Oryzias latipes: one gene and its partner. The protein of the gene in region 2 interacts with the protein of the main gene of each other region in a pairwise test. Links are inferred from orthologs where the notes say so. Each region holds a gene or a part of one and is shown on either strand. Other genes may lie near its edges.

Region 1 (7,346 bases), on a different chromosome or scaffold from region 2:
GAGGTGTTCCGCGTCCGCGCATCCATCAAGACCGGAAAAGATGCAGATTAACACCTTGGGAGGTCTCGGCACCAAAATCCAGTCGGGGCAGATCGGCGGGATTAACTAATCAGAACCCGATCCCGCTTCCTCCGCTCGCGGGCTGGCTCGGGTCCCGCTGGCTCGGTCGATATTTGGGTTCGCCTGCTAGTTAGCCACACAACGCTAGCTAGCTAAATGAACAGCACTAGCCAGAACTAGCTAACCAACAGTGAAGCAGTTTGCACCTAAAACTTTGATGTGGGGGGGCGCCCTCTATTGCCGCTTCAAATCGCGGGAGTGCTAAAATGCCCCCCCCCCCGCCCCGCCGCCGGTCCCAACCGTATCCACTCACTCACTGACAGACGGGCTTGAGCTGCGCGCTGACGGACGCCGAGGCTAACGGCTGCGGCTCCGCTGCCGCCTCGTTTATGGGGAAGTGCCGCTGCGTTTCTGGCGAAGCAGCCCTCGACGGTCCAGCAGGCCCGAAAACCATCAGCAGCGTCCGGCAACATAATCCATGGCTTCTCGCTGGGGTGTCCCGGGCTCGATACGGAGGAAGGGGGGCGCGCTTCCCATGAGGAGAGCCAGAGCAGGGCTCCGGACTGAGGGACGGCTGTGACGCGGACGGCGGAGGGAGATGAAGAGCGGTGGTTCGCCTCTGCAACTTTTCCTGAAGAAACTGAACAGACACGGATTCCCGCTCGTCTTTGGTGGGGGGTTAGCCGTACCGTGCCTCCAAACCCTCCTCAGAAATATGAATTAAATAAAAACCGGTATCGAACCCCGATGGGTCCTGCTTGTCGGGGTTCGGGGAGTCCTGGTTCAGTCAGAGCGGCTGCCTCTCCGAGTGTTGCCGAGCGGCGATGTCCGCTTCCTGCAGCCGAACTGTTCGTTTTCCCGCAGTAACACGGCTCACGGTCAGCGCGAGCCCGTCTTCACGTGCGTGTTTTCTGGGGTTTTTTCTTCAGAACGGCGGCACCGCTGGCTTTGTGGTTCGACTTCCTCCCACTGCGGCGGGGAGAGGCGGGTAAAACGCGGAGCGGCTCTTCCTTTGGGCCGGAGCGGCATTGGGCTGTTTTCTACCGAAAAAACCTGCTTGGCGTTGCGGCTCTACGGAGAAACTCCCGCCGTTTTCGGGGTTTTCACTCCGACCTTCGACGAGACGACGCGACGATTGGCCGAATAACGGCAGAGAACACAACCAGAAATTCGCGTTTTCCTCCCTGAAACTGCACAGTCACGAAGCAGCGCCTTCCTACATTTATGTTAGAACAGTTTCTGTCAGATTGACCCAAAGGCACGCGGAGTCTGGCGGACGCGCAGCGCCGCCGCCTGGCCGGCCGCAGTACTGCACCAACACCGCAGAGGCAGGCCTGCAGACGCAGAAAAACTGGTTTAGGGATAAATATTTAACAAGTTTCACCTGAGTGAACGCCTGCAGCGTTTAAAAGAAGGAAACAAAAATAAAAAACATCGCCAATTATAAAAAATATATGTATAAAAAATTCCATATACATATATGTAAACAAATGTATCCAAATTTTGAATTAACATTTAACAATTACCTACATTTTTACAGTATAACTAATTAAGTATTTTTCTCTATATTTGTTCACGCTCTACGTGATTCCCACATAAAAAAATATGTCTTAAAAGTATAATATTCCTCTCTTCCTTCAAAAACTGCACTCTCAAGGCAAACCTGCTTTTAATGGCAAAAAACAACATTTCCAACATTCTTATCCACCAATTTCATTGTATAAGATTTTTTTGTATAGTATAGTCATAGATTCCTGAAAACCATTCATTCATCCGTCTTTCTTAACCTCCCAGATACTGTTGGGCAAAGGCAGGGTATGGTCTGGACGGGTTAGGGACGCATGAGGGGCTGTAAGCTATGGCGAGAAAGCTCTCGGCAGGAGACTGGGAGCAAAAAGCACCTGAACATTCAGTGAGCTCATAAAACTATGCAACATGCACGTGAGCTACAGCGGCGTTCAACAGACAAAGGTCACTAAAATGCATTTTTATTTAGAGTTTAGTGTTTTCAAATGATCATAAAATTCTTGCTTTCATGTTGGAATTAAGAGCAGAATTATATTGTATTTTAAATATTCTGTTATAATCTCTAAATAAACATAATTTAAGCAAATAAATGTATATATATATATTTTGTTTCTATAATATTTTCTGCCTTAGAGTTTTATCCATATCAGTAGCTAAAGTTCCTGTAAAAATGTAAATGTTGACGTTTTGTGTCAAAAAACCCATAATCTGCTGTTTTGGCGAAATTAGAAACTTTTAAGCGCAGATCTTCGGTATCAGAATCAAAAATAAGCAGAAAAAAAATGGAACTTCCTCAATTTTACCTTTGGAAAATAAACAAAAAAACCTGATTGAAAATTTGTGTTAACTTTTGACAGTACAACATTCAAAATGTCCATATTTTTACTTTTAGAACGATATTTTGTATGAACTCTATTTTTTCCTGAACATTTTTTCAGTTACTTTTACGCCTTCCACGAAACTCCGCCTTCCTTATCACACATTCATTTAATCTTCTTCTTTTTTTTACAAATATAAACTAATTGCCTTCTGTATTTGATATTTTCTCGTAGATTTGACGGGAAAGAGCCACCCCCACCCCACCCCCCCCATGAAAAAGAATGTCTCATCCACTTGTCTCACTCTTTATTTTCAGCCCAATTTTTATTGGCGGGAAACCCGCGGACAGGAGCGATCCAGGAGCCTCACAGAAGCAGAAATGTTGGTGGAGGTCAGTCATGTTTAAGAAAAACAGTTTATTCAGCACTGGGTGGCAGCGGCGGGCGGGGGTGAAGGGTCACAGGGGAGAACGGGTTCTGGGTCAGCCGTTACTGCTGAATGCGGCGGATGGACTGGATCTGAGGGGTCTGGCAGTGGGACCCGAACTCCCTGAAGTGTTTGTACTCCCCACAGTGACGGTCGCACTCCATGATATACTGGTATCCACGGTAACCGGGGTACTGGTAGCACACAAATCTGAAAAGAGAGGAGGGAAAGTCAGAGGAGGAGGCAGGGGGTGGATGGAGAGGAGCTGGGTGGAGGTGGGGGGGGGGGGGGGGCACTCACGCTCCAGACTGGATCCTGAGTGAGCCGACTTCGTTGTTGCACCATCCCATGGCCTGGAGGGAGGGGTAATCGTCGCTGAGCTCGCCCTTACGGCCCAGGAAGTTCTCACGCTCGTAGATAGTCATCCGACACTCTCTGTGGTTCTACGGGGGGGGGGGGGGGGGGGGGGGGGGGGGGGGGGCACAGAGCAAAAGATCCGGTCTGACGGGTTCTGAACGAGTAAAGTCGTGTCACTTCCTGAGGGGGAGGGACTCACGGCACAGGCGATGGGTCTGAAGGAGGTCATCCTCTCGATGTGGTAGGCGTTGCTGCCCCCAAAGGCATTACACTGGGGGTACTCCCCCCTCTCCAGGATAAACTGCTGCCCCTGGTAGGAGGCGTGCTCATAGCCCACCCAGCTGGGACAAAAGCAGGGACAGAGGAGTTAGGGAAAAGGGGCCGCGGCCAGACCCGACCCGAGCACTACCGTGTGCGGATGGACTCACGCGCCGCTCTCCACCCTCAGGGAGCGCACCGTCTCAAAGCCGAACTCCATCACGTTGCAGCACTCGGAGGTGAACTCGTGGTGGCGGCCCTGGAAGCACTCCTCATCGTAGACGATGATCTGTGGAGGCAGAGGGGAGAGTCAGGTGCTGAAGGCCGCCCGGGTTCGGGTCTGGCGGCGGCCCGGGACACTCACCTTCCAGTGGCCAGAGAACTTGGTGCAGTGGTGAGTCATGTTGTCTGTGAAGAGAGGAGAGCAGCTCTTAGACGTTACTCAAGATAAAGACTGAAAAACCCAAACAGCCCAGCAGCTCAGCTCATGCTGGACCACAAGTGTCAGTGCGGGCAAGCCCCCCCGGCTAATGGACCATCCTGGATGTGATTCCCGAAAAAACGTTTTTAGTGTTTCCATGGAGATGACTCCTCTCCATCAGAATTCCTTTGGCTTCTTCCGTCCACTTGATCTCAGTTTTCCACCATCTCCTGTCCTGGTGTTTGTTTGGGGGGGATGTAAGTGGGGAGGGTGCATTCGACTAAAGGTATGTAAGTGCTGAGGGGGGGGGCGGCTCTACCCCGGTTGCTGTCCGGCCGAGGGACGGGGACTCACCTCGCATTGATGCCCTCAGGTTGTCCTGCCGTGAGAGTGAGAGGAGCCACGCGCCCCCACCCTTTTAAAGCCTCCCCTGGCAGGGGGCCACGCTGAAAGCCCCGGCTCAGCAGCAGGGAGGGGCCTTTTTTTTCTATCTTTGCCCCCCCCCACCCTCCCCACCCACCCACCGACAAAAGCAGTGTTAATCTGTGGAGGGGCAGAAGTGCAGACACCACATTATCACCGGGGTGGGGGGCACAGGGGAATATAAGAGAGAGAGGGGGAGGCGCCAGCTCCCAACCACTCGGGAAAACACCGCCGTCCTGAAAACATCAGAACACGGAAACAAAAGCATCACATCTCAGAATCTGACATTTTTAGATTCAGTTTTCCTCTATTAGAAAAACCCTCACTCCAAAAAGGGGCGGGTCAAAGCTAGACTCCACCCCCTAATTACAGATGCCATAACTGAGGCTGCTCAGAAAAAGATGGAAAACACTTTTACTAACAGACATGACATGTTCTATGCCATGGTTTTCCGTTTGCTCCGCCCACTTTTGCCTGTTGGGTTTTTCGGCGGTTATCTCGCCACTTCCCATATACGCCCGTATCAAAGAATAACACTGAATAAGAAAATTTCCCTTTATGCAAATGATGTGTTATTTATATCAAAAGCAGAGACATCTATTCCAATTCTACTTCATATTATTAAGCAATTCAGCCAAATTTCCGGGTAACCTTTCCACTGGGGAGCCACAGGGAGGGAAGGGACCCTCCTGCTAATTTTCCTTTTAGGTCGTCATATGAAGGCTTTTCATGCTCAGGTTCAAGGATATCTGCAAACACCTCAGAGATGTATAAGTTAAACTTTAAGATGGTTTTGAAGTCTTGACGGTGGTTCGACCTCCCCAGGTCACTGATCACTCACTTATTAACCCTTGTGCTATCCTATGGGGTCAAGATCACCATTGACGTGTTCTCCCTACCATGACAAAGGTGGATAAAGGTGGAAAGATTACATGTAATCCATGGACACCAGTGAGGAACACAATTTATTGAAGAAAAAGGTTCAGTGCACTGTCTTGTGGGTCTAGATGACCCAACTCCCAATGTTAAAGTGCCTAGGATAGCACAAGGGTTAAAAGCGTAGCCTTCTCCCCGGGCTTAGACTTTGGGACATTTAACAAATGGCATGATAAGGGATTAAAACATGTAAAACCTTTTCGAAAAAGGATATTTTCTGTCTTTTGGGCTAATTCAAGGCAGATTCAGAACATCCCACCAAGATTTGTTAGATTTCCTCCGGGTGAGACACTTTGTTCAGACTGACCCCTCTTTTCAAGGGTGACCAACCAATCTTACATTCAGTAGAAATTTTTCTTCTCAAATTCAATGAAAATGCCATCTCCAAGAAGACATTACTCTATATCTCTGTTATGCTCAATTAATGGCATTGAACCCTCTCACAAGTGAGAAATCTAAGCATCGTTGGAAGGCAGATTTGGGGATTGAACTTGATGTGGAAACTTGGTCAAATGCTTTTACAACTGCAAAAAAACAAAAACATGTTACAAACTCAGGGAAAACCAATATCGACTTTTCTCCAGGACTCAATATATTCCACAGGTTTTACATAGGATTCAACCACAGCACTCAGCTCTCTGTATAAAGTGTAGACACACTGTAGGAACTTACTAGCACCGTGTTCTCCAGTGTCAGTTGATCTCCAGATTTCTGCAATATGTAGCATCGGAGCTCCGCTCAATTTTTCATGGATCTTTTGCCCCAAACCCTATTTTGTTCCTTTTTGGCCAGTCGGGGAGGTTGCCTGTGTTACCTGGACAGATGAGGCTGTTCCAAAAACTTTTACTCCTGGCTAGGAGATATATACTACTACAATGGACACAAGTGCAACCTCCATCCATTACACAATGGTACAGAGAGACTTTTAAGGTTTTTCCAATGGAACGCCTCAGTGCCCCATTAAAAGGTAACTCCGACATTTTCTACAAGACGTGGTGGGCTGATCTGGATCACCTTCCTTGAGAAATAGCTGATATACTTTGTAAATACTTTGTAAAGGAGGCTCACATTTTGTATTTCAAAGTATTTAGTTAGTGCTTTAAGAAAACATCCCAACATGTTATTGGGACGTAGATTTTGTGTGCATCTTTTACTAGTTAGACATCTGCTGTGCTGTTTTGTGTTGTGTTCTTTTCTTGAAAAGATAATAAAGTACAATTACAAAAAAACAATGCTTAAATAAAGGCGGATTTTTGAGCTGTGAACTGCTGACAAGGCCTCTCCCAAGGTAAACTCATGCTTGCGTGTTCTGAGAATATCAAACTAACCATGTGGGGCGGGGCAAAAGCTAATAAAGTTTGATCAACCCTTGTGCTATCTTAGATGACCCCCCCTTACATTGCCGTGTTCTCCCTACCATGACAAAGGTGGATAAAGGTGGAAAGATTTCATGTAATCCATGGACACTAGTGAAGATCACAAATCATTGAAGAAAAAAGGTTCAGAGCACTGTCTAGTGGGTCTAGATGACCCAACTCCCAATGTCAAAGTGCCTAGGATAGCACAAGGGTTACAAGATAAATAATATAGAATATACTCAGACGGGCTTGACTCCAGCTGTTGTTGAATAAGAACTTCAATAGATCCAATGTATAAGAGAACCAGACTGAGTGACTCCTCCCCCCTGACGTTCTAAACAGGAAGTGGCTCCAAGAAGCCATAATCCCGTAGACTTCTGTAGAGAAATAAACCGCTGTAACTCAGTATTCTTATTGGTGAGAAGAACCATTCTGGCTCTGATACGTTTTATGTATCATGTTCTTGGTAATCGACATATTTGTCTGTAGTTCAAGTTTTAAACTGTCCAATCAGATGCCTTTGCGTAGCCTGCTTTCAAGTGCTAGAGGTGTGGCCTTCCAGCAAGCTCACTCCTGATTGGTGAGAGTGGTTGCCACAGAAACGTTGACTCAGACCGACTCGGACCAATCACTGCTTACCGACAACACATGGCTCCAACATGGCGGTCCCTGTTTTCCCCAAAAACTGGCGACTCAATTGACTTCATCTGGTTGGAGCTTGAAGTAAACCAGTTTCTACGGATGACATCACGCTCAGTCGG
Region 2 (8,159 bases):
AAATGTCACTTTAAAACATCCATAAAAAGGCAGACGTATGCATTTGACTGGTGCTATAATCTACGGATGTGTATTGCCAAGAGTCTGATCATACTATACGTATCCCGACGTTCTACCAGAACACTTCTTTTTTATTTTTATTTTTTTTGGGGGTATCACTTAGAAAAAACTACCTGAATATTAATGTCTTCCATAGTGATGAAATGGTAAAAATCCATTTTATTTAATGATCACAATGTTAAGCACTGCAACTGTATCTCAAATTCACACTGCTTTTGTTTTGGTAAGTTAAAATATAGAAAAGGAACAGTATACTTTGTCTGATTTCCACAAAAAAATATATTTCAGTATAAGAAAAAAAAAAGAATGAATGTGCCTTAACTAATAAGGTTCTAAAAGTATGATTGACGAAATAAAGTGATGTTTATTTCCAATATTGGTAAATGTAGCTTCTCCAGTACTTTTCAATGGTTTAGGAGCCTGAACGGTGCTTCAAGAATAAAGGGGAAAAACATCAATAAAGTGTTATGATGATGATGCAGCAGCATGACAGATGAAGGAGATGCTTTCATGTGGCAAAGATGCTTTATTTCCATGACAGTCTGCTCTGCAGCTGCAGCTCAGCTTTCTCGCACACCATCGCCATGACGTTGGCCTTGTTTCAGAGCGTTGTACACATCACTCTGATCCATCAGGTCGCTGGACTACAATCTATTGCTGGGAGGTTCTGCAGAACTTTAACCCGCTTTGCTGAGAGTGTTTTGACTGATGCTCCGTGCATTAGTCTCTGCACAGCCTGGGCCTGGTTAACTGTACAATGACACTTGGTCATCCAAGTTATTAAAAACAACCTTTTCTGTTTATCCATTTTTTTAAACCAAAATTGGCCCCCAGTCTAATGCAGAGTTCTTCATTTGGCCCTCCGCTACAAAAACTTTGAGAAACCCTGGTTTAAAGGGTCTGTATCCAGCAGAATCAACTTTTTAAGCTTTTAAATGTATAATAATGTTCATTCCTCACAAAAAACAACCCCAAAGCAGTATTGTGATCCGTTCACACATCTCTGAGTATTCCTCTAAAAACCTGCGTTCTGAGCCCCAGCCCCTCCCAATCCACAAAAATGGGTGGACCCTCACATTGCAGCATTACAAAGTGAGGAACAGCCCCTTCCAGGAAGAGTCTGCGGTGCCAACCCACCCCCACGCTAACACACACACCCTCATTCAGCAGCTAGCAGAGCTTGGAGATCTGGAAAACAGACAGGGTGGTAGAGCTAAAGGACCAGGAATGAGCAGCCCTGCTCCACAATATGAACATCCATCTTTGCAAAAGTTCAGATGTTGTTTGTTTTTGTGGGTGAAAGGCAGACATGCTGCCGAGGATGATGTCATGAAATGGGCGGCACCCACAAGGACAGAAAGGCGGAGCCGCAGAGATCGAGACGTTTTACTTCCAGGTAGGAAAATGACCTACAAAATTAACTCATTTAAAAATAAATTCATTCTTTAGTGTGCCAAAGGTAATATATTATTTAAAAGTAGGGGTTGCTTATCCGACCATAACAATCAGGGTGGCTTACCAACTCCCATTAACTCCACAGCAAAACAAGTCTTGCTGTTTGTTGAGCTGAGAACTGGCCTCCAATCCAGGAAATAGGACGACACCAGCGTCGTCTCACCAGAAATGTCCGTCTTGATCAGGACAAAGTGGATAGGGTCGCATATAGACAGCATAGAGGCTGCATCCATCACTTTACCTCCATCTTTAACAAGAAAAGAAGTCATGATTAGGTTCAAGGAGGAGATGTATTTTTTAAGCCTGGAACCTAAGTTCAAGCTCATCTTCACTAACCTCTAAACAGTTACTTTCCTCCTACCTGCATTGTCCCTGCAGAGTTCCAGGAGGAAGTTTTCCCTCATGTCTGGTTCACAGGTACAGGGCACAGGCTTAGATCCAAACCTCTGGTCGCGGAAATGTAGGTAGAGTGTAAACGTAGAAGACACCTGACCAGGTAACGGCTGTGGTTCCTGCAGGTGCTCCAGAAAGGCCTTCCCACCAAGAACTTGGAGATGCAGGTACTGCCTTGATGGGTCTACGTTGATTTGCAAGAAGTAAGAAAAATTAAAACAAGTATGACACAAACACGACACTGTGCACCGCATCATAATTTCTCTTACTCTGTCTCAGCTCGGTCATTTCTTTGTCACCATAATGACTGAAAGGCTTAGATGGAAATCCTGATGCTGTTTTTGTTGCTTTTTCCTACAAAGGCAGGCAGTTAGTGATAGAGTTCCTCAGTCTTTTCTGAATAGAGACAGCTCTCTTCGTTTCTAACATGTGATCTGTCAGTGAGAGGCGAGAACACCTGGCTGAAACGGAGGTCTTTCATCACATCATCTATTATGCCTCTGCGCTGTAGAGCACGTCTGAAATCCTCCTCCGACAAACGTCCAGAGCCGGGATCCACCCTTGCAGTCTCCGCCAGCACCTCTTGGATTTTCCCGTGGATGTTCATCTGAGGAACAGAAATAAAAGGTTGTGTTAGAAGTTCCTCGAACTTAACCTCAGCAGGGAAGAGGAACAGACAGTTTGAACAGACAGCAGTTAGACCAAGCATGGGGACTGTGCCTTAAAAATCTACGCCAATCATCTTTTGCTCTATTGTAAAATTGTTTCCAGTGGTATTTTAATCTTGTTAGGACATAGTTTCTGCAGAGCGGCAGGAGTTCATTAGAAATTCACCTCCAAGTTGTGGGCAGGACTGCTGGTGTGGAGTGAGCCTGCCATCATTTCCCATTAACCCTATGATTACATTCTCTCCTGCTAGCTTACAGTCCCCTCACACCCCCAAGCTAACATTAGCGGTGCAACAAAGATGGCGAGCAATATCGGCGCTATCCTGCTGTACAGATCTAAGCCAGATTCCAGCTCAGACGAGGAAAACAAAGACGTACATGGATCTGTTTGTCTGACAGTGAATGCATCAGAATAGAGCAGAGCAGGGAGCCTGTAGCTTCAACTACAACCATTTTCAAACTGTATTATTTTCATCAGTTCAAAATAATTTGTTAAAATGTTTTACATGATACAGGTTTATACAGTTGATCACGTGTTTTTTTTTACACTTTTGAAGCTGTATTTATTTATTTAATATTTAATACGAATCTCATTTTTGATAATAATTGTCATAATAATTTTCACAATAATTTTAATAATCATTTTTAATAATTTAATATGAATGTCATTTTTGATGTCCTTTTTTGATGTTGTATTATATAGATTATTTCTGAATGTCGTTTTTGCTGCCACAGATAATTAAAATTTCTCCATTGTGGGATTAACAAAGTCATTTATCTATCTATCTATCTATCTAAAAGAGATACTCAGAAATGCAATTTTAATCTTAATTGTCTTTATAAATGTCTACAATCATCGGAAAAATGCTACAAGAACATGTTAAAAACACCATTTTCTTTGGAGTGGGTCCTCTAACAGCTTTAGATTATGGTAACTAGATTTTTGAGCCGCAGGTTTTTACAATCACACAGGCTTTAATGTCACATAGAAGATGAAGATAATGATGTATGTTAGGCCTGCACAATATACCGCAAATTTATCGTTATCGCAATATCCAGCTCTGCAATATGCATATCACAAAAGACGGCGAATATCGCAATAAATCGCAAACCCAAAATGTGTTAAAACAATCTTCTAGCAGCTTGAAGCATTTAACGAATCAAATAAATACCTTTATGCTTTGACTAATCAGATGGACGCCTTTCCATTGTTAACCAATCAGATGGAGGCCTATTATGTTAGATGTTTGTCCCCCATGTCGATGAGGGTCATTTGGAGTGTAATTTTTAAACTGTTGCAATGAAATGGGAATGATGTTTTTGTTTATTTTTCTATTTGTTTATTTACCGCAAATTTATCGTTATCGCAATATTGATCACTAATATCGCATATCGCAAGTTTTCCTCATATCGTGCAGCCCTAATGTATGTTGAGCTGAGGGGTTGGCCCCGCCTTCAGCCCCTAAGGCTCATGGGAAGTGGGGAGCTTTAGGGTGAAACCTTGAGTCAGAGGGTTGTGCACTGAAGCGACAGTCCATGCTGTTAGACTGTTTGAGTGTGTTGGAATAATAGGGCTTGATGCTCGAAAGGTGACTGTGCCTCTGCTTGTGTTAATTCCTGTCTGAGACCAACCGGGGTCGTGCGGTATATGGGGCTCGGACAGTTCTCCCTCATGAGCAGTTGGTTTACGCTACCCCGCTTAAGTGACGGTCTGGCTGGATCGTTACAATATATTTAAAAAAAACTCAGGTTTAAGAAAAGGTTAATCAACTTAAAAAATATACTTCCAACTTCATAAAACATGTTGGTTCTTAATGATCCTCGAACGCAACAGCTGTAGCCTTGGGTCACAATCCCAACATTGACTTTTATGATTATTGATCTCTGTTATTGCCTTTTTAGCTGGCTGCTGTAGTGATGAGAGTAGTGTTTGAAATGACATAGCTTTTATGATTATCTCTTTTAATTCAACCCTTCTTTGGGAATCTGAAGAAAAAAAATTCCTCCTTCGAAAAGTTACTAGTAATGCCATCTTAAATATTTGATGAAGTTGTTTGTTGTTGGTCAGAAGGGTGGTCGGGGTTTAAAACACATAACAGCTATAAGAATTCATGCACAAAAAATAATCATAAAGGACGGTAAATCTAAAGTGCAAACTCTTGAAAACAGAGGATACAACACTAGCGCGTTAAATTTTCTTACCTTCTTCAGGTGACTCTGAATAATCTGCTTCAGTTCGGAGGTTTTTTCTGGAGGTAAAGACATTATAGCTGCAAAATCTGATCCTACGAGATGATTAAAAGTTTACAACAACAAGCTCTGCAGCATAATTTTTGAATTCAGCGGAAATCTAAAACTGTTATGTCCATACAAGAGACGGGGTCCTGACAAGCCCAACAGCCAGACAGTTGCAGAGGAAGGCGTCTAGGTTAATGCCTGAACGAAAAGGAAGAAAATGGAATGACTCATTCTATCGCGTAGCTAAGTAATCATTGTTTTGTACATCAAAATTTTCAGTTTTATAAGGTCACATCATGCAGAAATTAATATTGTTTTTTCGGGATTTTTAGCCAAAAATGTTGTGAATTATATTCAGGAATCCCATTGGTCCATCGTCAGCGAAACATTTAAAAACCAGCCTTAAACAATGCACCTCCAGCTTAATGCAACGTGTGGTGCTGATGCTGCTCCAGAACCTGCACAGCTTCTCATACTTTGTGGAACGATGAATTCTGCGCTCAACTTAACACCTTTGACGGAGAATGTCCACCCTTCATTATTTTTTCTGCTAGAAAAAGATATTAAACATGGCAGAACGTAGCTTCCAAAGTGAAAAAATAGAAAGGTGTTGAAGGAAGCTGTCCAATGTCCAGACAATATGACCTTTAAAACATGTAAGGTTAATGCTGGAAAGTACTAAACCACAACACCTCTGCAAGTTAGAATTAAACCCAATTAATCCACAGACTTGTACAGTTGATCGCAGTTGTAAGAAATGATGAAAAAACAATTTCAAGGATGTCATTTAGATTATTATGGCAAATATGCAATGGATTTGTTACATGGGCAGGTATTTTTATACTTCCAGTTTAATGTTTTAGTAAACATGTTACCTTGCTCTGAAACAAAGCAGGGATTTTATCTGTTTACAGTCCACTTAGTAAATACTTTCTTTCATCAATTCATTCATCTTCTAAACCCATTTAGTCCTTTTCCAGTGCTGCTGGAGCCTATCCCGGCCACTCATGGGTGAAGTCAGTGGACATCCTGGACAGGTCGCCAGTCTGTTTCAGGGCCACATATCACACACCCACACACACACTCATATTGACACCTATGGACAATTTAGAGTAACCAATTTACCTATGAAGCATGTTTTGGACGGTGGGAAGAAGCCAGAGTCCCCGGAGAAAACCCACGCATGCACAGGGAAAACATGCAAACTCCTAACAGAAAGGTCCCCGTTGGTGTTCCGTTTCAGGTCCCCCAGCCGGGCTTTGAACTGGGGGCCTTCCTGCTGTGAGGCAAGAGGGTCCACTGTGCAGCCACTTACTAAATACCAAGGTATAAAAACAAATACAAGGAAAAATATCCGTCGTCCCAGGTGGTAAAGAGCACACGTAGAAGAGGAAGGGACACTATTTTCTGCAGCTAGTCGCTAAATTCATAAATCCAAGCTTCATTCTTTCACTCAGAATGTCCCACTGCAGACGACATAAAATAACTAAAGTCCTGATTACCAGAAAACCCTCTTTAAAAACTGAATTTGTTTTTAGAATCCAGTTCCAGGCCTCCAGTCTGACCACATTGGAGTAGTTGATGGTCAAACGATATTACAAATATATTAGTAAGTACATTTTATTTGTATAGCACCTTTCACAGACAGGAGTCACAAGGTGCTTGACAGGTTAAAATATGTATATATACACATATAAAAACACAAAAGATAAAAAGCATAAACCACCAATATTAGCACAGTATAAAGAGGAATGTTGAAGCTATGATGCCGACTGCCCAGATGTGATGCCTCTGGATTACACAATACAAACAGGGCTGGATGAGAGAGAGAGAGAAAGAATAAAAAGATTCTCTACCTTTGAAGATTTTTTTTATCATTTTAAATTCTGGCTGTTAACTGGAATTTGCTCATGTCTTACATTTCATGTAAACCAGTGAAGAGTATGGTGTGACTAAATAAATTCAGGGCTCAGTACAGGCTAAACAAATACACTGTATTACCAAATGTACCAAATGATGAGAATCAGGTGTCCTAATCACTGGGCTGTATAAAATCAAGCACTCAGACTTTCAGACTGTTTATGCAAACATTTCTGAAAGAATGGTCCTCTCTCCGCAGCTCAGTGAATTCCAGCGTGGAACTGTCATAGGACGCCACCTCTGCAATAAATCCATTGGTGAAATCTCCTCACTCCTAAATACTCCACAGTCAACTGTCAGCTCTATCATAACAAAATGAAAAAGTTTGGGAACAACAGCAACTCAGCCACAAAGTGGTAGACCACGTAAGTGACGGAGAGGTGTCAGTAGATGCTGAAGCGCATAGAGGTTGCCGACTTTCTGCAGTCAATTGCTGGAGAGCTCCAAACTTCATGTGACCTTCAGATCAGCCCAAGTAAATCACTAAGAGAGCTTCATGGAATGGGTTTCCATGGCTGGGCAGCTGCATCCAAGCCACACATCACCAAGTGCAATGCAAAGCGTCGGATGCAGAGGTGTAAAGCACGCCGCCACTGAACTCTAGAGCAGTGGAGACGCCTTCTCCGGAGTCATGAATCCCGCTTTTCCATCTGGAAATCTGATGGACGAGTCTGGGTTTGGAGGTTGCCAGGACAACGGTACATTTCGGACTGCATTGGGCAGAGTGTGAAATTTGGTGGAGGAATTATGGTGTGGGCTTGTTTTTCAGGACTTGTTCCTTTAGTTCCAGTGAAATGAACTCTGAATGCTTCAGGATACCAAAACCTTTTGGACAATTCCATGCTTCCAACCCAGTTGGAAGCATGGAAGTGGGTTTGAAGTGGGTCCCTTCCTCTTCAAACATGACTGTGCACCAGAGCACAAAGCCAGGTCCATAAAGACATGGATGTGGATGAACTTGACTGTCCTGCACAGAGTCCTGACCTGAACCCCATAGAAAACCTTTGGGGAGGAGACTGAGAGCCAGGCCTTCTCCACCAACATCAGTGTGTGACCTCACCAATGAGCTTTTGGAGGAATGGTCCAGAATTCGTATGAATTTGACTTGAGACCAGTGAAAATGCAGGTGATCATCAGAACTGCTGTGAAGGCATTGGAATGCTGCAAACAAAGACACAATCACTTCCTTCTGTAAGGTTGCATTTAATCCAAGGTGCTTTGTTCCAACTTCTACATTAAACTATTATGGCTTTAGCCAAGTCTCTGTTATATGAAAAACAAGTTCATGGTACTAAAGAGTCTCACACACACAAACTAAAAAATAATATGACTACTATTTTGTAACATGGTTGCGAGTTGTATCAGAGATTCAAGAGATAATACATTCCACGTGATAAGAGTACAAGGCTTTATCACTGAATAGTT

What was found. The genes of interacting proteins can lie anywhere in the genome.
Region 1: the proteins of cep76 (region 2) and cryba4 interact in binary tests that used the Homo sapiens proteins (3 or more experiments, as listed by UniProt). The two-hybrid records come from large-scale screens. The link is inferred for Oryzias latipes from reciprocal best matches to the Homo sapiens genes CEP76 and CRYBA4.

Annotation. Positions count from the first base shown.
Region 1 is NC_019870.2:2,109,494-2,116,839, reverse strand, and holds cryba4 (beta-crystallin A4), read right to left. Parts: upstream 4,290-7,346; 5' UTR 4,230-4,289; coding exon 4,223-4,229; intron 3,856-4,222; coding exon 3,812-3,855; intron 3,737-3,811; coding exon 3,618-3,736; intron 3,531-3,617; coding exon 3,389-3,530; intron 3,276-3,388; coding exon 3,133-3,275; intron 3,043-3,132; coding exon 2,895-3,042; 3' UTR 2,696-2,894; downstream 1-2,695. UniProt on the Homo sapiens protein: Crystallins are the dominant structural components of the vertebrate eye lens.
Region 2 is NC_019874.2:5,534,864-5,543,022, reverse strand, and holds the start of cep76 (centrosomal protein of 76 kDa), read right to left. Parts: upstream 4,981-8,159; 5' UTR 4,842-4,980; coding exon 4,779-4,841; intron 2,516-4,778; coding exon 2,366-2,515; intron 2,263-2,365; coding exon 2,178-2,262; intron 2,093-2,177; coding exon 1,877-2,092; intron 1,763-1,876; coding exon 1,580-1,762; intron 1-1,579. UniProt on the Homo sapiens protein: Centrosomal protein involved in regulation of centriole duplication. Required to limit centriole duplication to once per cell cycle by preventing centriole reduplication.